3 linked regions of the Pelodiscus sinensis genome follow. The protein of the gene in region 2 interacts with the protein of the main gene of each other region in a biochemical or structural test. Links are inferred from orthologs where the notes say so. Each region holds a gene or a part of one and is shown on either strand. Other genes may lie near its edges.

What was found.
Region 1: of the proteins of SNTA1 (region 2) and MAPK12, one has a biochemical effect on the other in vitro, tested with the Homo sapiens proteins (2 studies listed by BioGRID and IntAct, with this or other methods). The link is inferred for Pelodiscus sinensis from reciprocal best matches to the Homo sapiens genes SNTA1 and MAPK12.
Region 3: the proteins of SNTA1 (region 2) and FRMPD4 interact in a test that uses a peptide from one of them, tested with the Homo sapiens proteins (2 studies listed by IntAct, with this or other methods). The link is inferred for Pelodiscus sinensis from reciprocal best matches to the Homo sapiens genes SNTA1 and FRMPD4.

Annotation. Positions count from the first base shown.
Region 1 is NC_134711.1:37,391,852-37,399,286, forward strand, and holds the start of MAPK12 (mitogen-activated protein kinase 12), read right to left. Parts: upstream 3,034-7,435; 5' UTR 2,808-3,033; coding exon 2,692-2,807; intron 2,496-2,691; exon of another isoform or gene 2,218-2,495; intron 1,679-2,217; coding exon 1,549-1,678; intron 1-1,548. UniProt on the Homo sapiens protein: Serine/threonine kinase which acts as an essential component of the MAP kinase signal transduction pathway.
Region 2 is NC_134728.1:33,977,873-33,985,572, forward strand, and holds the start of SNTA1 (alpha-1-syntrophin), read right to left. Parts: upstream 3,035-7,700; 5' UTR 2,907-3,034; coding exon 2,636-2,906; intron 2,411-2,635; exon of another isoform or gene 2,273-2,410; intron 1-2,272. UniProt on the Homo sapiens protein: Adapter protein that binds to and probably organizes the subcellular localization of a variety of membrane proteins. May link various receptors to the actin cytoskeleton and the extracellular matrix via the dystrophin glycoprotein complex.
Region 3 is NC_134711.1:214,148,755-214,156,618, forward strand, and holds the start of FRMPD4 (FERM and PDZ domain-containing protein 4), read right to left. Parts: upstream 3,034-7,864; 5' UTR 2,400-3,033; coding exon 2,329-2,399; intron 1-2,328. UniProt on the Homo sapiens protein: Positive regulator of dendritic spine morphogenesis and density. Required for the maintenance of excitatory synaptic transmission. Binds phosphatidylinositol 4,5-bisphosphate.

The sequences.
Region 1 (7,435 bases), on a different chromosome or scaffold from region 2:
GCAATTATCTAGCCACCAACATGAATTTTAACATAGTCAAAAATGAATCTGAGATTTCCTCTGAACTCCTTTCCCCTGCTCCCTATTTTCTCCTGCTGTTCACAATATTTCTATCCTTCCTGTCCATCAGGCACATAATTTGGCTGTAATTTTTGACTCCTTCCTTCCCTCCAATCCTCTCTTCATTACTGCAGCCCTATCCTTTTCCACTTCCCTGACACATTACCCTCCTCCAATCCAGAGCAAACACAGGTGTTACAATCACCTTCCACTACTCTGATCACATCCGATCTTCACATTTTCTTTGAATCTCCCTCTAGTTTCCCTTTTCCACTTCCCTTATATCGAAGTGACTAAAATTTTCAAGAAGCAGCTAAATGACATTTTCAAGTGACTAAGATCTTGTTTACACTTGAAATATGACAGTAGTACCAGTGCAGCACTTGAGCTGTGTCACTGTATTGCTTCAGTGTAGACATCATAGCAAGGGGAAGGATTCTCCCATTACTGTAGGTAATCCACCTCCCCAAAAGGCACCTCCCCAAAGAATTCTTCCGTCGACCTAATGCTGTCTATACTGGGGGATTAGGTCATCTTAACTGCCTTGCTGAGCTTCCCTGACCATACCTGGGGCATCTGTCAAGGAGGGACAGGCCTTGCCCATAAGGTATTTCTTGGGCAAGCTTTGTCCTTGTGCTCTGTCAAGGTTGGGTGCAGTCTCACTGCACAGTCCATGACCTGTGGCAGTGGAGCTGCACAGTGATCTCCCATCTCTGTGCAGCCAGTAGCCAGAGTTCCCCACTGTCATGCTGGGGCCTCCACATTTATTTGAGAAATAAAATTTGCAGAATTTTGCAGAATTTTAAAAAATTGTGTGCAGAATTTTTATTTTTTGGTGCAGAATGCCCTCAGTAAAACAATTCTGCCTCTCCCTATTTAATCACTCATCTTTTATCACTTTCCTTCATCCCTGATAGTCCAGCCTTGATTGCTGCTCCTCACAAACCATCATTTTATTCTCTTCCAGATCACCATGGAGTTAATCCTCAAAGCTACTCACACATTCCGCCTCTCCAACAAGTATTCCATCACAGGAGACAGGCATATGCACTGTGCAAGTTACAATGTATATAGGTGTACATGCATTGTGTTTATAGATTTGTTTGTACATTACAATAGTGCCCAGAATGTGGTAGGCTTTGTAAAGACAGATAGAAAAAAAACTATCCCTCACAGTTTAAAATCTACAGGATAGCCATAGACAAATGCATGCAAACAGTATAGGTTAAAGTCACTTTTTGACGGCTGCTCTCTAATGGCACATACATGCACTCTCATCATCACTATTTTTTATGCTAAATACATGGCTAAAAATCTTTGTTAGAGCTAAATTACTGATGCTGCGGTGCCAGGGCATGTCTACCTTGGCAGATTATGGGAATACTGGAAGTATGGGGGACAGTAGATCAGGCACCATGCATGGTGAAATGTATGCATTTTGCTGTGCAAGCTGCAGTCTTGAGAGTATATGCTAACAACTAAACTTACATTTTCATGCTTCATGTGTTTCAGGAGGCGTAGTTCCCGATAGGCTCGTTTGGCAAAGAGTTCAGATTGAAATGGACGGTACAATTTCTTGATGGCCACTTTGATGCCACTTCTTCCATCAATAGCTGAGCTTTAAGAAAACAAGTATAGAGTTTGTGAGTGAGGATTGGAGTGATGCTGGAAGTCCTGACACGCAAGGTACATTGAACAATAAGTTAGAGGACTCCAGGTGTGGGGCTCTGCTCCGCCTTGCCATTGATTTGCTATGTTACAGAGGCAAAGTCACATAACCTATCTGTGCCTTTGTTTATCTTACTGTAAAGTGGGAATAATAACTCCCTAAGCTATAGCTTCAGAACTGGTTGGACACCATGAAAATAGACCATTCTTCCTAGGCAATTCTGATGAGCCACAGTAGAGGTCTATAAAGCAATGTCTGAACAGAGGTCAATCAGCTCTCATACTGTAATAAAGAATGGAACATTCTGATGAAGTCAAAATGCAAAAAAGATAATAGGGAAATGCAGTTTTACTGGATTATGTAACTGTGGAACTCACTGCTACAGGACACCGCGGACTGCAAGACTTTAGGGTAGCTAGGAAAGTGCTTGCCTATATCCATGAATGGGACCATGCAAAGTTACACAGAAAGGCTAGAAACTCTCATGCCTCAGGTGATGAACTCAATGCCCTGCCCCCTGGCACTAAGGAAGAGCTTTTCCGGGCAGGATCGCAGAACTGTCCGCTTTGGGCTTTCCTTCCAACTTGCCCTTCGTTGCAATGTGAGCGCGGAGGTACCGGGCGTACGCCTTTCCCTCGCACCGGAGCCGGCCGGGCCGATGTCGGAACTGGCTGCAGTGACTCCGGCACCGCGGGGAGCGGTTCCGGGCCCCGCTGGGGGCGGAGCAGCCACAAAGTTGGAAGGAATTAAAGGGAAAGTGGCCACGCTTCCCCCGCGAGCCAGGGACCCCCCGAGCCGCCTCCCCGAGCCCTTTCTGCAGCGCCAGGGCGGGGCGCCAGGCAGAGAGCAGCCCTCTGCTAGCCCGGGCGCGCAGCGCAGGCAGCTCCCGCCCAGCCCTGTCCTGGCCGGGGCGCCCTGGGCAAGGCGCTGGGAGGGACCCCCTGCTCCCCTGCCTCACTCACCACACAGCGCCGTAGGCTCCGGAGCCCACCGGCTGCAGGTCCCGGTAGCGCTCCCGCACCTCCCACAAGGTTTTCGTGATTTCCTGCCGGTAAAAGCCTTTCTTGGCGGAGGACATGGTGACTCGGCCCCCTGTCGGCGCCTTCCAACAAAGAGCCCCGAGGCGGAGAGAGGGGCTGCGGCGGCGGGGCTGGTGCGAGGGGCTGGGCTTGGAAGCGCTCCCGGGGTGTGTGTGTACGTGTGGGACCCTCTCTTAGCGGGGATTGAATGTGGCTCCGGCTTTCTCTTTCCCCGCCTCTCCTCTCCCCTCCCCACCTCCACGCCTGCCCTCTCGGAGGAGGAGGAGGAGGAGGTCCTGTGGGAGTCACACTGAATTCCCCCCTCCCCCTCCGCATCTGGGGCTGCCTGCTTTGTCACAGACACATAACTTTCCTGCCTGCGGTTGCTGCCTGATGGCGAGGCTGGGAGGGTCTCAGCCCCTGGGCTAGGGAGGATCTGCTCGCTCTTCTCAAACCAACTCGAGATCACGTGGTGAGATGTCGCCCCGCACCCCGAAAGGCCCCCCATTTCTAGCCTGTTTCAAGGAAGCCTGTTGTATTCGAAAGCAGCTTTCTAGCTAGGTGTGATCTCTGAGTTCTCTGAAAAAGGGAGGGTCTAGCTGAATGGCACACGCTCTTATTTACAGAGAGTGTGTTGGGACATGCAAGCAACAAGACAAAAGAAAGCAAGGTTTGCACGCTGCATTACAGACAAGACCCCGGTGAAGAGGGGTTACTTATATGAGGCCCCAGAGCCAATGCTGCAAACTGGTACCTACCCACTAATCCAGTTAGTTGCCTATATGGAGCCTAGATGTTTGTCCCAGTGAACAGTTTGATAAACATTACACTGACACAAGTAATCAAAAGCAGCATGGTTTTGCAGTAAAATTTGGTATATATTTTAGTTCCATGGCTTTTGTAAATGTTTTTTGTCTCAAAAAAATAAAATACACTTAAAAGGCAACGTCTTGTATGCACATGAAAGAACCCAAGGGTGGCTACTTCCATCTCTTTTTATCTTTGTCAGAGCTACTATGGTCGATTAAGGGGATGAAGGAACATTTGATCAGTGGAGAGTTATTGTTAATTTATTCCAGTGGCATCTAAAGTCTCCCACCAACTGGACTGGGGCCCAGTTGTGCTAAGCACTGTGTGGACACAGAATGAGGGTACATCTACACTGTGGAGTTTTTCTGGAAAAATGGGAGTTTTTCTGGAAACACTACACTTACATCCATGCTGCTATTGCATTCTTTCGACAGAAAGTCAAAGGAATGGAGGGTTTTTTCTGTCAGCGGTATACTTTTTTCTACAAGAAGCCTTTTTTCGAAGAAGCTTTTTCCAAAAAAGGTGTGTGTGGTCACGGAAGAATGTTTTTTTGAAAGAAGAGGCCTGCAGGAAAAAGCACAGGTGCCCTGGTGGCCACTCCATCCACAGTAATCACAACTGAAATGCGAGATAGCGTTCAATTAAAGTGGATGCTATCTTTCGAAAAAGCAGATAACTTTTTCATTGCACTTTTGCTCAGTAGACACTCTTTTGAAAAAAGTTTTTCTGGAAGATCTCTTCTGGAAAAGCTTCTTCAGAAAGAAGCTTGCAGTCTGGACATAGCCTGAGAAACATATCCTGCACCAAAGTGAATAACTGAAAAAGTTTGTGTAGATAAACAGATTTAAACAAAAATTGGTGGATCATACAGTGAAAAGGTGTAACTGTCATTAACATTTTTTTCTATTTTTGCTGTCACATAACATGCCATTCTCTACTTCTCCCCAAACCTCTGGCCCAATTGTCAGAGTAAAACTCGTTCACAGTTTCCCATTTCCCTATTATCCTGTCTATATCCCTCCTTCACATCAGCAGACCAGGGAGATGCGGAGCAAAGCCACGGAGGACGCGGGCGGTGGGACAGCAGCGCGTCTGGGCGGTCCCGCCACCCACGTCCTCTGCAGCAAGAAAAGCCGCTCCGTGTCTCCCTGGTCTGCTGGGGGTCCCCCCCCCCCAGCAGACCAGGGAGACGCGGAGCAAAGCCGCAGAGGACGCGGGCGGCGGGACCACGGAGCATCTTGGCGGTCCCGCCACCAACGTCTCCCTGGTCTGCTGGAGGGGGCGCAGCTAGTGCACCCCTCCCCCCCAGCAGACCAGGCTTTTCTCGCCGCTGGTCAGTTTCAACAGCGGCTGAATCTGGACGCCTGGGACAGAGCAGCTGGGGCGCTGCCGGGTTGGTCCCACAGCGCCGAGGTGCGGCACTACTGGACCAACCCAGTAGCACTCCAGCTGCTCTGCCCCAGCCGTGTCCAATTCAGCCGCTGCTGGTCAGTTTCAACAGCGGCTGAATCTGGACACCTGGGACAGAGCAGCTGGGGTGCTGCCAGGTTGGTCCCCGCAGCGCCGCACCTCGGCGCTGCGGGGACCAACCTGGCAGTACCCCAGCTGCTCTACCCCAGGTGTCCCCAAGTCAGCTGCTGCTGAAACTGATCAGCGGCTGATTCCAGGAAGCCCGGGGCAGAGCAGCTCTGCCTCGGGCTTCCTGTAGTCAGCCGCTGGTCAGTTTCAGCAGCAGCTGAATCGGGGACACCTGGGGTACAATATGTACCAGTTCCGACTTACGTACAAATTCAACTTAAGAACAAACATACAGTCCCAATCTTGTACGTAACCCGGGGACTGCCTATATTGTTGCATCAAGTAAGTGCTTACAGTCAAGCTGGTTCTGCAGTATAACTACATACTACACAGTGAAAGTGAACAACTTTGGTACATATCACTTAATATGTAAGTGGAGCCTTATACCTTAGTTCCTCCAGTGCCACAGACACATCAAGCTGTTTAATTCCTCTGCTGTATTTCTTCTGAGGTAATGCCAACGTATGCTACATCCTCTGTCTCTGTCTTGCAAGTGCTTCCTTGATTTTTCTCATGTTCTATTTCTTCACTCAGGTAACCAATTCAGTGCTTGCTTAGCATGTCTCTTCTTATGTTCTTAAGTTATGTTCTCCCATTTTACCACATCATGTGTCTTCTTTCTTTGCTGATATGTTCTAGCATGTCCTGCTCTGTAAGCTCTCTCTCATTTGTTATTTTGTCTGCTCATGAAATGTGTAGTGTCTTCCTTAGCCATTTGTGTTGGGCAGCTTTCAGTTTCAGTTTCTTTTAGCAACTCTCATTGGCAAAGTCTCTGCTCTCCACAGTAGCATGCTCAGTATAATTGTATGATATAATCTGATCCTTAGTTTGGAGTAGAGATCTCTATCAGAATGGTTATGGGTCATATTTCCAAAAGTGGTGTTTCTTTTCCTAATCTTGTAATATCATCTTCATCACAGCCTCCTTTAAATGTCATCACACATTCCTCACATAGCTGAACTCTTTCAACTTTTCAATTTCTTTTCCATCAGTGTACATCTTTGAATCTGTTGTTCAGTTTCCTACCTTCATAATCTTGGTTTTCTATGCATTTACTTTCAATCCAATTTTTTTATGCTTCCTGTTCTACCGCTGATGTAAGGGTAATCCTTCAGTTCCCCATCATGCTTAATAAAGCAATGTCATCAGCAAAGTTAAGATAATGTAATTCATCTCTGCTAACCCATTTTACAGAATCCATGATACCTTTTGTTGCTTGCTTCATCACCCAATCTATTACTAATGCAAAGAGGTTTGGTGATAAAACATACCCTTGTTAGACACCACTCACAATATTGAAACATGTAGGCCTGTATCTCCTCTTAATTTAGGTCTCCTTCCAGCATATAATGTTGATAAGCTTGTTGGTATCACATAATTTCTAGCAATATTCCCCAGGGTTCTCTGTGGACTCTATTAAATGCTTTCTTTAAACTAGAGAGAGTTAATTAAAATGGAGTATTAGTTGCCAACCAGTAGCTTTTTCAATGATCTGTTAAAGAGTGAGTATCAATTCACAGCAGGAACTATCTGGATGGAATCCAGACTTGTAATATTTCATTCACTGCCACCTTCATCCTATTCAGCATAAAGGTAGCCAATTATTTCCTGGGATTGTTAGCCGTACAATTCCTCTTCAGCTTGTGCACTGAATAAGATCAGACTTTTTGGCAGTGCCACAGTGGTACCATATTTCCAGTTTTGTTGCACCTGTTACCTTAACTTGTCTATATTTCATTACAGAGTTTTATTAGCTGTTCAGTCAGAATTTTCCCTCCAGACTTTATTAGTGCTGATTGAATTCTGTCAACCCCAGAATCTCTCCCGTTTAAGAACTTTGGTGACTGCAATGCTGTTATTTCATTAGATGTTATTTGTCCCCCTTCTATTTCTAGCTTACCCATGGAATTTCTCACCAAGCTTTGTGATCATTGACTTTGGTCACGTTAGTATAGAATGATTGCCTTGTTCTTTATGCATTTTCAACAGGTTCATGAGAATCCCTGCTGGGCACCACCTGTGACAGTCTGGTTCTTCCTGATATGTATTTGACTATTCTATGGAGCTGCTTGAAATCTCCCTTGTGCTCTTTCTTCTGCCTCTGCAGCCTTCTCCTGAACCCAGGTTCTTCTATTTTGCCTGCATTTCTTCTTTATTCTCTTGTGTTGGAAAAGACTGATGTCTATCATTGATTAGGGTATTTGTGCTACAGACATTTAAGAGCCATTTGCCATTATTAGTTAGTTAGTTAATATACATTCCATCACTGCCTATGATTCCTTCCCAGCCAGTAGAGTTA
Region 2 (7,700 bases):
GGCAGTTTGCAAACTAAAAAGCTAACTGAACGTCGGGACGCATTAGGAAAGGAATAGATAAGAGGACAAAATCCCATATTGTGTCTATATAAAGCCCGGTATGCCCACATCTTGAACACTGCATGCAGATCTGGTCACCCCAGCTACAAAAAGATCTATTGGACATGGAAAAGGTAGAGAAAGGGCAACAGAAATGATCAGGGGTAAGGAACAGCTTCCATCGGAGGAGAAATCAACAAGACGGGGGCTCTTCAGCTTGGAAAAGAAATGACTAAAGGGTGGGCAGGGCCGGCCCACAACATTTTGGCACCCGAGGCGGGGAGCTCAAATGACGCCCCCAAGCCCCCTCGCTTGGGCCAAAACTTTGAAAGGTCTACAAAGCCCTTGTGGAACCTCTTTGCCAGATGATGGGAAAGTCCAAACTGTAACAGGGTTGCAATAAGAACACACTAAGATCGAGGAGGGCGGGTCCATCAATGGTGATTAGCAGGTCTCCACAAGCCGCTGTTTCTACTTGCCCAGGTGAGTAGGTTGCAGCCGGTCGCTCCGTGCGCCCCATTCACCGGCGCTTCGTGCATGCACGGTGCAGGCCTGGTGAGGAGCTCTCGCCAGTTTGTCGAGCCCTGGTTATTAGCCAGGATGGGCAGAGATGGTGTCCCTGGACTCTGTTTGTCAGAAGCTGGGAAGGGGCAACAGGGGATGGATCATGATGAAGCCTAATCTGTTTATTCCTCCTGAAGCACCTGGTGCTGGCCACTGTCGGCAGACAGGATACAGGGCTAGAAGGACCTTTGGTCTGACCCAGTCTGGCCAGTCTGATGTTCTTACATTTCAGCCCCTAAATATCTGCCTCCTGCTGTAACCCACTAGACCCCACTCCCCTTCCCAAGCTGAGAGAGCCCAGGAGTCCTGACGGGGTCGGTCTTTCTCCCCAAAGTTAGTAAAGTAAGAACAGACATTCACATTTCCAGCCAACCAGTGTCCCTTAAGCAACTTTCCACAAGTTATCAGAATACGTTAGTGGTAGAGCTGAGTGGGGCTAATATTTATTTTCTTTCTTTTATATAGGAATTGGATACAGTGCTCCTGCTACCTGCTAAGTTGTCTGCCAGAAAAAGCAGTTTCCTCGTGCCCTAGCAGCCCTGAGATAGAGATTACGTGGGGTTGGGGGGAGGGCAGAAGTAATTGGTTCCCCCCCCATTTGGTGCTTAGCTTGTACTGCTGAAGCTGCTGTCCTCAGTCTGCCTGCCTCTCCTGCTCTCACTCTCTCTGCCCCACCCATCCTGGCACATACAGGTTGCCCCCCGCCCCCCATATTCTGAAATGGTGCACCTGCAAGACTCATTCAGTGCAATGAATCATGGGGTTTTACGTATGGACATTTGGATGGGTGACGGCATTTTGACACAGAATTCTGTTCCAGGCTGCAATGCCAACAAAAGAATGTGAAAACATCCTTCGACCTCAGCAACAGAAGCATCCCAGTGGGGAAACACACAACCACAGCAAAATTAACAATGAAAAGACAGCGAATGTGACTTGACCTGAACTACGTGGGATGTAGGGGGAGAACATTGCTCAGCTCCTTTACATTCCAGGGAATAGCTTAGTACAGAATAATTCTTCCCCCTCCCCCACTCCCACCCCCGCCAATTTAACCTTTCTGTTCAATCCAACCCAACCCTGCTTAGACACGTTCCATGCACTCGCTTTCTCCAGGGTGGGCAAAATCCAGCCCCAAACATTTGGTTGCAGCCAGCTGCGACCCAGCGGGACCCTGGGGCAGGCTCCCTGGCTGCCTACCCCACCTCCAGCTCAAAACCTCCCATTCTTGAAGCCAGTGACTCCGCATGGCAAGGGCAGTGCTTGTGGGGACGTGCAGCACGTGGAGACCCTGCACCCCCTCCAAGGGGCCACCATGCAGACACACACACACACACTGGCCACAGCAGCCAGCCACGGTGTGTGTGGGGGGGGGGGGGGCATAGCAGGCAAGGAGCCTGCCTGACAGTCCCACAGGCCACCAGCTGAAAGCCACCAACGTAAGCACCTACCAGCCAGAGCCTGCACCTGGTACCCCCTCATGGACCCCAACACCCTGCCCCAAGTCACAACCCCCACTGCAGCCCGGCCCCAGGCCTGAACCCAGCCCCCTCCCGCGCCCAAGGGCGCCCTTGATGAAAAGCGCAGCCCCCGGCCACTCACCAAATTCTTGGCCCGCCCCTCCCCCCGAGGTACTGCCCACTCAGGGCACTTTCCGGTTCACACTCACCTTGCAGGAATGCTCACACCCGCCCCGCCCCGCGCCAGCCCAGTCGAGGGAACCGCGTCTCCAGCCGGCCACGCCTGGCGCACCTGCCCACCGCCGGCACCCGGCTGCGGGGCGCTGCTCGCGCGTGGGAAGCCCCGCGGAGCAGGGCCCGGGCTGTGCACTTGGGCCGGGAGCTGCCGCCGCCCGCCCGGCTGATGCGCCCGAGCTACCGCCGGGGCCCCGGCGCCACGGGGCAGAACCTGCCGCCGCGCCCCGCCCTGGGAAGGCGCCGAAGTTGGGCAGGCACCAGCCAGCTCCCCGGGCGGCTCGGGGCCGCGGGCAGAGCCCGGAGCCAGGCTGAGCGCGGCGCCGCGCGCCCCTCACCTTTGATGCTGATCCCGAGCCCCCCCACGTCCTGCTTGACGATCCGCACCGTGCGCCGCACGTTGGCGAGCGCCTCGGGCACCTGGGCGCACGGCTCCCCGCCGTTCAGCTGCGCCGGGCCGGGCGGCGGCGGCTCCTCGGCCCCCGCGCCCTTGGCGGGGCTCAGGCTCAGGAAGTCCTCGGCCAGCGTGAGCAGCACCCGCAGCCAGTGCTCGCCCGGGGCTCGCAGCTCCAGCAGCCCGCTCTTCGGGGCTCGCCTGCCGGCCGCCATCTTCAGCGCATTCCTGGGACAGCTGCGCCGCCTCCCAGGCCCGAGGGGGGCACCGGGCACCCAGCCACCCCGGGCGCCGCCCCCGGCGGTGCCGGGCACATGGGCCGCCCGCCAGACGCCCCCGCCCAGGGAGCCGCCCCCGGACACGCCTCTCCCCTCCCCGCGCCGCGGCAGCACCGCCCGGACCCTCCCTCGGAGCCGCGCCGCTTCTCGGGCAGGGGGCCGGTGTCAGCAGCCAAGACCCGAGCCCCCACCCCCTCCCGTGGCCGGCAGCTCCCTCCCGAGCCGAGCATCAGGTGGCCGCTAGGGCTAGACGCAGGCAGAACCCGGGCGAGCTTGTCCAGATGTCCACAGACAAAGGCTCAGGGCAGGGGGGCAGGGCACTGGGACTTGGGGTTCTTGGGTCCGCGGCCCCGTCCGCTTTTAGCTGCCTGGCCAACCCTGGAAATGCTAAAGGAAACTTAAAACCAGCACATAGTCTGGTAGCACTTTAAAGACTCAGGAAACTGTCAGCCCCCGTGGCCTTCAGTGGCGGTAGAAGCTGTTGTAATAATGGGCCCTGCACATTTACCCCAGTGTAAGCTCCGCTGTGAAACGTGAGTGAAAGTTGCTAAATTATCACAGTCACCTGCTGCAATAAATGTCACAGGGAGGAAGGCAAAAGGCAGAGCACAAGCCAAAAGGCCAACTAATATAGCTCAAGACTGAACCCAGGCCTGAGAGCTAATACCAGTACGCAAGGTGCGGAAATTGGTGTCGGACATTAACCCTCTTGGTGAACAAAGTGCTAAAAGGATGGGCTGTGCCACCCAGTGCTCCTTTGGGGGCTTTTTTTTTTTTTTTTAAAGGAGACTGTAGGAACCAACAGCTGGAGGCTCTCACAGTCCTGGACCCATTGGGAGAGGAGAGAAATGAAAAAAGTGAGCTGCTCCCTTGTGGCTGCCACCCCACTTGGTCACCTGAGAGTTGGAAGGTCTTTGTGGTAGGCGGAAGGGTGTCCTGAGCAGACAGAGAAGGACCCAGATGACCTCATCACTTCCAGCTGAACCCCAACAAGGCCTGGCGTGAGGGGCTTTGTGTCTCTTCCCCTACTATTGTCCTTTCCCTTCTTATTTCTTCTCTTTCCTGACCCTGCCCTTTTTTCCTTCTGTCTAAGGATTGTCCCGCTTTCCCGGCCAAGACTACATATTTTGCTTTAAGCCTGTGACCAAAAAAAGGCAGCTAAAAGCTATGATCTAAACAGTCTGATGCTGGGGCAAGTTTGCCAGGCCTCGGAGTGACTAAGAGGATCCCATGCTGGGCAGTGAGGCTGCGAGTGAAAGTTACCAGCAGGGGCAGAAGCTGTGTTCTCCCTTCCCCTGTGTGTGTGTTTTCATGTTAGGAAATGCGATGGGACTATTACAGCAGCAACCCATCTCACCTCAGTTCTTCTCCGTCCCCCAAACATTTGTTGACATTTGTTGCCAGCTCTGACACATCTAAAACTGGACCAGGAGGATTTTCCTCCTAGAAACTCTCCCCAGCTAAAAAAAATCAAATAAAATCCTTTTGTTATATTTCACATACTCTACCTGGGCTGCTTTGTAGTCTCACCCCGCCCGGGCTCCAAGGCCCCACCCTGCTCACTCTGTGGAGCTGGGGTACAGGGTTGGGGACACCCTGACAGCACCCCCTCTTCTGCCTCTCCTACCCTGCACAGCCAGCAGGACACTCCCAGGGAACAGCTCCAAGGCAGAGGGCAGAAGCAGTGGCTGAGCGGAGAGGGGCAGCTGAAGAGCTAGTGCTTGAGAGCCTCCCGGCCAAACCGGTCAGGATGACCTGCCAGAGGCTCCGGGATCTACCAATAGATCCCAGTCTACTGGCTGGTGGCCGCTGGCGTACCCCAACCCACAACCCTTATTTGAAACCATTTAATGTTGGTCAAGTGCCTGGTTGATGCATTCAGGCTGTGTCTACACTGGCGCGATCTCACGCAAAAGCGGACGCTCTTGCGCAAAAACTTGCTGCCTGTCTACACTGGCCGCGTGTTCTTGCGCAAGTAAACTGACGTTCTACTGTATGAAATCAGGGCTTCTTGCACCAGAACTCTGATGCTCCCGCTCATGAAGAAGCCCTCTTGCGCAAGAGCTCTTCCAGAAGAGGCCAGTGTAGACAGGCAACATGAATTTCTTGCGCAAGAAAGCCCCATGGTTAAAATGGCCATCGGAGTTTTCTTGAACAAGAGAGCGTCCATACGGCCATGGATGCTCTTGCGCAAAAGCACATGCCAGTGCAGACGCTCTCTTCTGGAAGGGTTCTTGCACAAGAAGCTGCCAGTGTAGACACAGCCTAACACCTTTGGGCCCTATATTCCATGCAAATGAATACACAGTGCCCTAAGCTCTTTGGAGGACCCGGACCTTCTCCTGGTGCTGTTGTTTCTCCAGCTATACAATTAGGCTAATAGTCACTTGCCTCACAGGAACGTTCGGGTCAATTCACTCACGTGTTTTCAGTTCTTTGAGACAGGAATCCCTAGGGACCGGCCTTGTATTAGAAAAAATGCTGTGTGCATCCCAGGTATTCGTCTGGCAATTTCCCCAGGCCAGGCCCCGAGGAGTCTGCACAGAGGGCCTGCCCCTGAAGCCTGGAAAGAGGACAGAACAGATGTGGAGAAGCAGCTGTCCACAAAGCCCCTCCCCAGCAGAGCTTTCCCTCTCCTGGAGGCAAACAATTCATGGCTGTACAGGAGACTCCACAGGACTCCTGAACTAGGCCTGAGAGCAAAGCAGAATGCCAGCAGGATCATACAGCCACAAACGATCCCTGCTCTCCGCCTTCAGCAGATCCATGTAACCGGAAAGCAAAGCAGAATACACCTGGAAAGGGGGGGCCCACGGCCAGGTTTGACTGTATCCAGCTTTTGCTTCTTTCATAAAACTGCAAGAACTGGAGACATCTCTGGGCAAGAATCCCACCGAGGCTGTATAAGAACAGGGAGCATTTAAAGCCGACCGCCTTTGCAAAGGCTGCGCTGAAGGTGTGGAGGGAGCCGATTCTGGGCGTGCCAAAGCGATCGCAGCAGGCGGTCCTGCCAAGCAGCCCTCCCGTGGTGGCTTTGACTGCCCTAGTGCCGCTCACCAGCGGTTCTCTGAACATCCAGCCCACACCAGGCTGGAATTGACTTGCCCCCGCGAGCAAAGCGCACTTTTAACAGAGCGAGCAGTGCGACCTCTGGACAGACGGCAACTGATTTCCCTTCCCATGCTGCCCGGCATGAAAGCACTCCCAGTCAGCATCGGGGTGCAGGGATGAATAAATACTGGGGAAGAGAGGGGGTCACCTGGTAAGGGAATCTCATACCTTGGGCCGCCATCTCCAATCGTTCAGGGCCCTGTTCAGGCACCGAAGTGAGTCGGGTTTTTTTAAGGGTGCCGCGTGGGTGCTGAGTTCTTTTGAAAATCTGGCAGCTATGTAGGTGCCCAAATAGCAATACCCCCTGGCCCCGCCCCCTGGGCCAGGCAGGGATGCCCCCAAACAGGCCTTTACCTGAGTGCACTGTTGCATGTAGGTCTAGATCAGCAGCTCTCACTGCGGGTCAGGACCCTGCTTCAATGGGCTTTCCAAGCCTGGTGTTCAGACTTGCTGGGGCCCAGGACAGAAGCTGAAACCTGAGCCCCACTGCCTGAGGCCAAAGCCCTGGCTGGTGGGGCGCAGGCTTCAGCCTCAGCCTTGGGCAGCAGGGCCCAGGTTACAAGCCCCTCGCCCAGGCCTCAAGCCCTTGGGCTCCAGGTTTGGGCCCCCTGCCGTGGCAGTGGGGCTCTGGCTTTGGCCCTCCCCACGCAGGGCTCAGACAAGCTCAGACTTTGGTCCTGGGACCAATGCGGGAAGGACTGAAACCCATCGGCCTGGGTTATGCAGGGGTAGCCTAGCTAGCCCCAGTGGCCCCGTACAGCCTTAGCATGGATGACTCTAGAAATGCTATTGCGGTGAATGGGGAGGCAGCATTTTCCGGACATTCCAGCCATTCCGTTAGCTAAAGTCTTTACTGAGTAGTGGTAACTCTTTAGACCTAACCCTAACCCTTGCCTAGAAGGATTAAACCATAGACAGTGAGTCCCAGAGCCCTCGGGAATGCTTAGGGAAGCCGTGCGTTGGCAAGAGACCAGCAGCAGTGTTTCCTGTAAGCTGTGTGCTTGTGCGGCCTCTCAGGAGAGAGTCAAATGCCACCCAGCTGATTGGCACAGTGCCCACAGTAGGTTTGTGTTTCTACTAGTGGTGCACATTCACACAGGCCTTGGTGGACTTGAAAAAAATTATTCCACACAAGGGTGGGAAAGAGAGGGAACATTGACCAGGAGAACCAATGAAAAGAGTATGAACTTTTGAATTGGACGCAGCAGCCCTTCTTGTTCCTGTGTGACCACAGCAGAGGCCTTGGAAGGAGCCAGGCCTGGAGAATCCAGCGACACCTATGCCCACGGAAGCATTCAGTCTTGAAACTACAGATATGTGAGTAGAACAGGGAATGTTTAGTCAGACCCAGTCAGGCGATTTTCAGGTTTGTTGGATTTCTCTGTGCTGAGCACATTTAACTAGCCCCTTACACTGTAACTTTCCAAGCTGAATCCCAGGGAAGCACTTCAGTGTTTTTAATCCTTTTTCAGTGGCTGGGCTGCCAGGTGTTACTGAGCAATGTCTTACCAAAAGTGTTGGGTTTTTTTAAATAAAAATCACCCTTTCAAGAACTTGATCTGATTCCTGTGTCCTAGAAGGCAGGAGGTTCCGTGTGGACGTGCCTAAGACTGCACAGCC
Region 3 (7,864 bases), on a different chromosome or scaffold from region 2:
TCATTCTTCTCTATACCAACTGATCCAAACACTAGCTCAAGGGTGGTTTTCAGAAGGAAAAATTTCACCGTAAGCATAAAACCACTCTCAAATATCAGTTGAAGAAATCTCCTTCAATAGCTACTCTGGTATTTGGTGCTGGAAAACTGAAGCTCCAAAGAAGTTTCCCAGAAAGTTATCAAAGAATAAAGAAGAAAGCTTTGAAGGGAAAGGAGAGAGAGAGAAAGAGATGGAAATTTGCACATTTACACAAAATGCTGTCAAAACAAGCAAGATACAAATACACTGAAAAAAATAAAGAAATCATTTTATCTTCTTTCAGTTTTAAAATCACAGGCAAATATTTGCAGACCAAAACGTGATTTAAGTTGACAATGTAATTTTAACTAAGCCTGACCGTGCAAAATTAATTCTAAGATAGCGCAGTGCTAAGTTATGCCATAACATCCCCCACGCATCACTCACATTGCATTCAAAATCATACACATCAGATAACTTTAATTTTAGATGTGTATGCCAGTGGTCTTTAGGATTCCTTTAAAAATAACGGCAGATAAAATTATTCATAAGTGTGCAACTTGCCCAAATAAGTCTCAGAGAAAGCATTAAATAAAACACTTGAGGTAACACTGGATGATGTGTGAGTCTTGTGAGCAAACTGCTTCATTGTGCATTTTAAGTTTACAGTACTTTGTAGTAATGAACAATTATATTTTTTCCTTCAAATTATACAGTCTGTAAAAAAATCATCTGAGCACACGATTAATAGCTTTTTTAAAGCTCACTGCGGAGCTACTTCCTTCATTACCTGACCTCTCCTTATCTTGGCAGTCAAAATATATGGTATGTTGTCAGACAGATTCTAATCCTACTTCCATGGGATATGATTTGATGATAATGTTACTAAAAGACCAGATCACTAAATCAGCCCGCTGTTTCCAAAGACTGTCAAAACCACAACTAGAAAAAGCCCATTGCAGTCTTTCAGATATTACTTTACAAATCATAATATTTCTTAGGGTTTTTTCTTGTTTTGATTAGCAACAGCTGTAGTATGTTTTGGATAATAAACAGAGAAGCAGGGCCAATGTGAGGTGGGTGCTGTCACTTTCCCCCACATGGCCCTCTGCTTGATCATTGGCCCTGCTCCAGGCTGTATTTAATTTACTGGCGATTTAGACAATTTATTTTTATTACATATTAAAACAATAATGATCAAAAGTGCAAATTATATTAAAAATGCATATGTGACATTTGCTTTGTAGAAGTAAAATCTTCCTTACGCCATATACAAATAAGGTTGAAATATGTTCCTCCATTTTAAACCAAGCACCATAATGAATTCCGTAACATGAGCTGTGTAAAGTACTGTATAAAATACAGAGATATGCTCATGCGTCACACATAGTGGGCTAATGGTCATTTTGACAATTTTGAGTGTATTGATGTTAATGTGGTGAAACGTGGTCTTAGTTAAAGCTTTAAAGAGAGAGGGGGGAGCAGTAGCGTGGAGGGTTCAGCAGTAGCATGGAATTTTATGATTTAGAAAAAGATCAAATTAAAATGATATTTTCCCTTTCATTTTAAGTTACTAATATTTACTTGCGCATACATTCATATCAGAGAACAAATTGAAACTAAGTATCCAAACACTAGAAACAGTGACATATCTTGATCTATCTAAGATATGTCTACGGATTACATTGTTGTCCCAAGCCCACGGATGGATCTGGTTAAATTAGATTGTAATTTTATTCACTTAACGTACCTGGGAACACGTGGCAATAATCATTCTGTTCAGTTCAGCATTACTTCCTTCATCATTTGTACTTATTTGGGAGGGCTGCCATCAGCCCTCACTCTTCTCAACACGATTCTTTCAAGGGACCCTGTCAGTCTCCATGGTATGACGGGGGAGACTCAGGGAAAAGCAGAGGAAGTTGCCTTCCTGCAGTATCAGACTTTACACTACCCAACCCTACTTCCTCCAATTTTCTTAGGGAATGCCTTCCCGCACGACCCCTTCCATAGCTTGTTTACCTGTCTAGGGCACTTGCTAAACTCATCATCTGGCCTAACTTCCTTCCCTACCAGCTGTGGGGAAGGCACCTCCATGTGGCCAAGATAGAAGAGCAAGAAAGATTCCTTCCTAGCCCCCAAAGGAACAAGTGACTAGTGAAATGCCCATCCTTAACATACAAACCTGGCCTTATACTAATCCTACGGGTGGGTGTTGTTGGCCCTAGACAGAAAGAGTTCTTACCATGGTGCATGGTATAAAGATCCGCCCCCCTCTCTCCAGATTGTTGGGCTATTGTTTTTCCATACCTGTTCCTGCCTTGTCCTTTCCACCAGGCTCTGTCCAGGTGTGTTCTCTTTCCCCACTCATTACAATTCATTCCTTTGAGTGCTGCTCCCTAAGAAAGTTTCACCTTCTTTGTTTCTGCAGCCAGACAAAGACTCACGGCATCCAGTTGAAGTGAGCATATTTTCATGTAGGTGATGTACTCATCACCCACAGTGTCTTCCTTGTCTCCGGAACCTCCTACTGGCTGTTTGCCTCTCACTGCACCTCCCATGGTTTGGCCCATTAGCCAATTCGCTTAAAGCTCAATCACACGTGGCATAACAAAGGGTCCAACTAGAACTCAAAGGTGTGAAGTCCAAATAATAATTCTTCCACTCCTTTTCTTTTGGGTGACATTCAGTGTTCTCATTGACCCTCCCTCAGGTCCTCTCTCACAGGAGCCGTCATCTGCTTATGCAGTTGCATGTCCTGTTCTCAGGGGCTGGTAGGGGAACATAGCCCAAAGATCCTGCATTAAATACCTAAGACTGTTCCTTCAGACATGCTATTGTTTTCCTGGGCCGCTTCCTACCTGTAAGGTCCTTTGGCTGCTTCTCTGCAGCCTGTGTTTAACACAGCCTCCCTTTACTACTTAAACCTTGGGCTTCTCCCACCCCAGCTGACCTAATAAGTCTCCCACCTCCTGTGGGCTCCTATAAAATGCTTTTACTGACCTATCGGAGGGCCTCCCTCAAAGGAACTATGCTCGTTCTCCTTCCCACAGAAAAGTTTTGCTTTCTTTTTATTCTTCTCCCCTCCCACAAATTGAGTTCTCCACCCTGTACAGTCTTGTCCTAATCCCTTCTCAGACTGAGTCACTAATTAGCCTTAAATTGGCACATCCTTATTGGCTGGAAGCTAGCTGCTACGTCACAGGCAAGGTTGAGCCTTAAAGGGCCAGCCAGCCTGTGGCAATAAACTTAAAAACTGCACATTTCCATTTCTAGCAGGCATGTCAATCAGTGCACTCTTTACGTAAAGAATGTTGCTTTGTTCTTCGTGTTGTCTTTGCTAAGCTACCAGTAGAGTTACATTTACCTGAACTGACAGTCTTCACATAATAATACTTCATTTTAGACCTTGGAAAATAGGTTACAGAATATTTTTTATAATAAATGACAAAAGTTTAGGAAATATACGTTCTGCTTCAGCACTCCCACCAAGCCTATCATCAGTATCCTAGCAGTACATTATCTAAGTCCTGATGGTCCAGCTCTCTGAGATTAAAGCAATTACAATGCATTAGCAATATGTGCTGTAATTTTAGTTTTCCTCCTCCACTCTGTCAACCCTTGGATACAAAGAGAAACAATTTAGAGTTACTGTCAAAAATGGAATAAGAAAATGAGTAATATGGCAGTGTTATATCACTGGATAATAAGCGGATTTCATTCCTAATCAGTTTCTTCACCCATCACATCTTTTAATATGCTGCATTCTATCACTGCAATCACCTGGCTCCTACCTACCATGCATATCTACCAATCCCACCATGTTGCTTTGATTTTCAATTGCTCAGTCATTTATGCCAGCAGAGAGGTCAAAATAGTAATGCATGGGACCACAAGTAAAAGGCTTTAAAAACAAAAATGAAAGCTATCCTAAGGAGAAACAAAGAGGTGTATTTTTAAGTGCATTCACATGGATGCACCATTTTCTTTGATTTTCCTATATTGTCAACATCCAGGTTTATTAGAGACACAAGGTGGTGATGTAATATCTTTTACTGGATCAGCTTCTGCTGAAGAGACAGACAGGTTTTCGAGCTTACATAAACTTCTTCTTCAGGTCTGTCTGGCAACAAGACTGCATGAGAGCCAGATTTGGCATTTTATCGGAATGCCATTTTTAATACAAATGAGAAGTCCTGTGGCACCTTATATAGTATCATGAGTTTTCATGAGTAAAACTCATGATACTATATATATTTTTGTAAGTTTCTAAGGTGCCACAGGATTATTCGTTTTTAAAGTTACAGACTAACACAGATATCCCTCTGAGATTTTTAATATCAGTTCTCCCAAACAGGTGGGTTGTAACCTGAACTCAGTTCCATTTATGTACAGGCAGTCCCCGAGTTACGCGGATCCGACTTGCGTCGGATCCGCAGTTACGAACGGGGTTTTTCTCGCCCCGGAGGACGGGAGCAGCGGGACGCGCAGATGAGCCGCGGTCCCGCCTCCCGCGTACTCCGGGGCGAGAAAAGCTGCTCCGCGTCTCCCTGGTCAGCTGGGGGGGGAACCCCCCCCCAGCAGACCAGGGAGATGCTGAGCAAAGCCGCGGAGCACGCGGGCAGCGGGACAGCCAAGACGCGCCACGGCTGTCCCACTGCCAGCGTCATCCAAGGCTTTGCTCCCCGTCTCCCTGGTCTGCTGGAGACCAGCAGACCAGGGAGACGGGGAGCAAAGCCGCAGAGCACGCAGGCAGCGGGACCGCGGTGCGTCTCAGTCCGCCGCCCGCGTCTCCCAGGTCTGCTGTGGCGGGGGGGGAGGGAAGGGCACAGCTAGTGGGCGCTACGGGACCAACCAGGCAGTACCCCAGCTGCTCTGCCCCAGGCGTCCTGATTCAGCCGCTGCTCCTCCTGATTCAGCCCCATTCATTCGTCCTGATTCAGCCCCAGCTGCTCTGCCCCAGGTGTCCCCAAGTCAGCCGCTGCTGAAACTGACCAGCGCTGACTACAGGAAACCCGAGGCAGAGTTGCTCTGCCCCGGGCTTCCTGGAATCAGCCGCTGATCAGTTTCAGCAGTAGCTGACTTGGGGACGCCTGGGGTTCTTAAGTTGAATCTGTATGTAAGTCAGAACTGGCATCCAGATTCAGCCTGTTGAAACTGATCAGCAGCTGATTCCAGGAAGCCCGGGGCAGAGCAACTCTGCCTCGGGCTTCCTGTAGTCAGCCGCTGGTCACTTTCAGCAGCTGCTGAATCTGGTTGCCAGTTCTAACTTACATACAGATTCAACTTAAGAACAAACCTACAGTCCCTATCTTGTACGTAACCCGGGGACTGCCTGTATACTGAACAACAAAGACCATGACTAAATTCAAAATGCTCAGCTCAATGTTAAAGACACACCCAGAAGGTTACTAGTAGTGCAGTTTTCAATGCCTCTTATTTTAACAGGTACTACTACTCTGTGAAACTCATAAATTCCTACTGCTATTAAGGTATATGACACAGCTAGCTTTAGTTCACTTGTATTCAGTGGAAAGATTGAAAAACAAAGGCTCTGCTTAGAATTTTTGCTTTTCTTTTTCATGACCAATGCTTTGAGCTCATTTGTAGACATTTCCTATTCCATTGATTTTAAGATCAAAACTAAATAGAAAATTTAATAAAAATGTATCTATAACTCTTGAAGAACAGAGATTACTTAATTGTAATTGGAGTCCTTCAAGATGCTTGGTTCCTACGTGTGTTCCACATGTTGGGTATATGCCTACACTATATGCCCAAGTTCAGAGATTCTTCACAAGCAGTGTTTAATGGCCCACACATGCACCCTCTCTTTATATTCTAGACCAAGTGCATAAGAAGCAGCATAGGCCAACACCTCTCCAATTCCTCTTCTTAGCATGACTCCAACAGGATCCAAAGCAATGGGGTGGATAATGGAATACACATAGGCACTGCCCATCTGGAAGAATTTCTGGCCGCAGGTAAGTAAGCTCTATTTCTTCCTATTGAACTGTAGGCTTGATTACGGGCAGAAAGGTCCTGACTAGGCCCTTCAGGAATTTGTTGTTCAGTGAGTAAAAATTGAATGCCTATCTACTACATGAAGGAAGGCACTGAACACTGCTTGATGGGCTTGCAATAAGCAAAGGGAAAAAACCTGAATTCTTCAGTGACAGGAGATAACCAAAAATGATTGAAATATCTGCAGAGTCCGAGGAAGACGGTTTGGGTTATGGCCAGGCAAAGAAATGTCTCTGTTTTCTCCGTGGTGGCAGCCCAGATGCAATGTCATGGCCACCCAGTCTTCTCATACATGGATGATTGACTCCAAATAGGTCACTCCAGCAATGTGGTAAAGTTTGTGACTTTGTTCCTGTTCCATCTTTGAGCAGTACTTGTCAGTTGCATGCACAAGTCCACTGTGACCCTCACAAGGATTATAACTTTTGTTAGAGTGACTCTGGACCCAATTTCACTGCCTAAAGGCCTCGCTTTGTTCCATCCATTCACCAGACAAAAGACTGCATGGCTGGTCAGGACACCGGTCACTCCCTGAAGCAAGTGAGAAAAGTCACTCTGCCGTTCATGTAGTCCTTGTATGGGGAGTGGATGGATAGCTCAGAGCCAAGCCTATAGGCAGTGTAAATGAAGTCTGGCAAATGGCATCACATCGAGGCCATTTGGCCTAGTAGATACAGGTGTATTCTGACCGTAGTTTCTGGTTTCCAAGTAATATGTGATATCAGATTGCTCATTGATTGAAATCTTTCTATGGGGAGGAAAGTTCTTACTAAAATTGAGGGCCACAGTGGACTTTTGTGAAAACCCTGGGAGCTGTTGCTAGTCTAAAAGGAAAGACTCTGGTAGTGTTCTTGATCTATCAAGAACCAATTAAACTGTCCGTGGGATAAATTATTATCTACATCAAAATAGGCATCCTTTATTTTCACAGCCATAAACCACATTCCCTTACTGATGCTAGTTGTAACCATCCTAAATTTTGACTTCTGAATAAAGATGTTCAATTGTCAAAAGTCTAAACTGGACATCCACCCACTGTCTTTTTGGGGAGCTAATAAGGATGGAGAACAGAACCCTTTCTCTTGATACACAGGTGGATATCATTCTTTTGCCCTTCACTGGAGAAGAGAATCTGACTTTTAGAAAACAGTATGTTTATGAGAGTGGTCACTGTGGAGGAACCAGGAAGGTTGTTTGTGAGTGGAATGGGAGAGATATTCAACAGAGTAACCAGAATGTATGGTTTCTAGAGCCCACCTGTCTGTCATGATAGAGTCCCAATTGTGGGTAACAAAGTGAGTGATATCCTCCAAAGACTGGGGGGTGGGGAAGAAGGGAATATACATGGCTGGCATGAATAAAGATAGACAGTTCTCAATTGCGGTGTCTAGAGTAGTTAGAGCGTGAGTGGGAATGGATAGAGGTCATAGCAGTAAAAGTGTTGAAAATCAAGGTCTTTAAACTCTCTGGCACACGCACAGAGACTTGGCTAGAAACTGGTGGTAAAATGTTTTTGGAGGAAGTGGTGTTGGCCTATATACCTGCCCCTGATGTTTTTCTCAGAGATCATGGGGTCAGTGTACAAATGTCGAGAGTAGGTTTTCTTACTGACCAAGTAAGATTCATATGGCAAATCATCTATGGCAGTGGTTTTCAAAGTAGTGTGGTGGGCCTTCTCAGGTAAGCTCTGGAGGGCCCACAACACTTTGTTTAGCTAAGGGTCCACAGCCACGGAGCTTCGCAGCTTCCATTGGCTGCGGTTCATGGTTTCCAGCTAAGGGGCATTGCGGGAAGCATCCTGGACACTGAGATAAACAAAGCA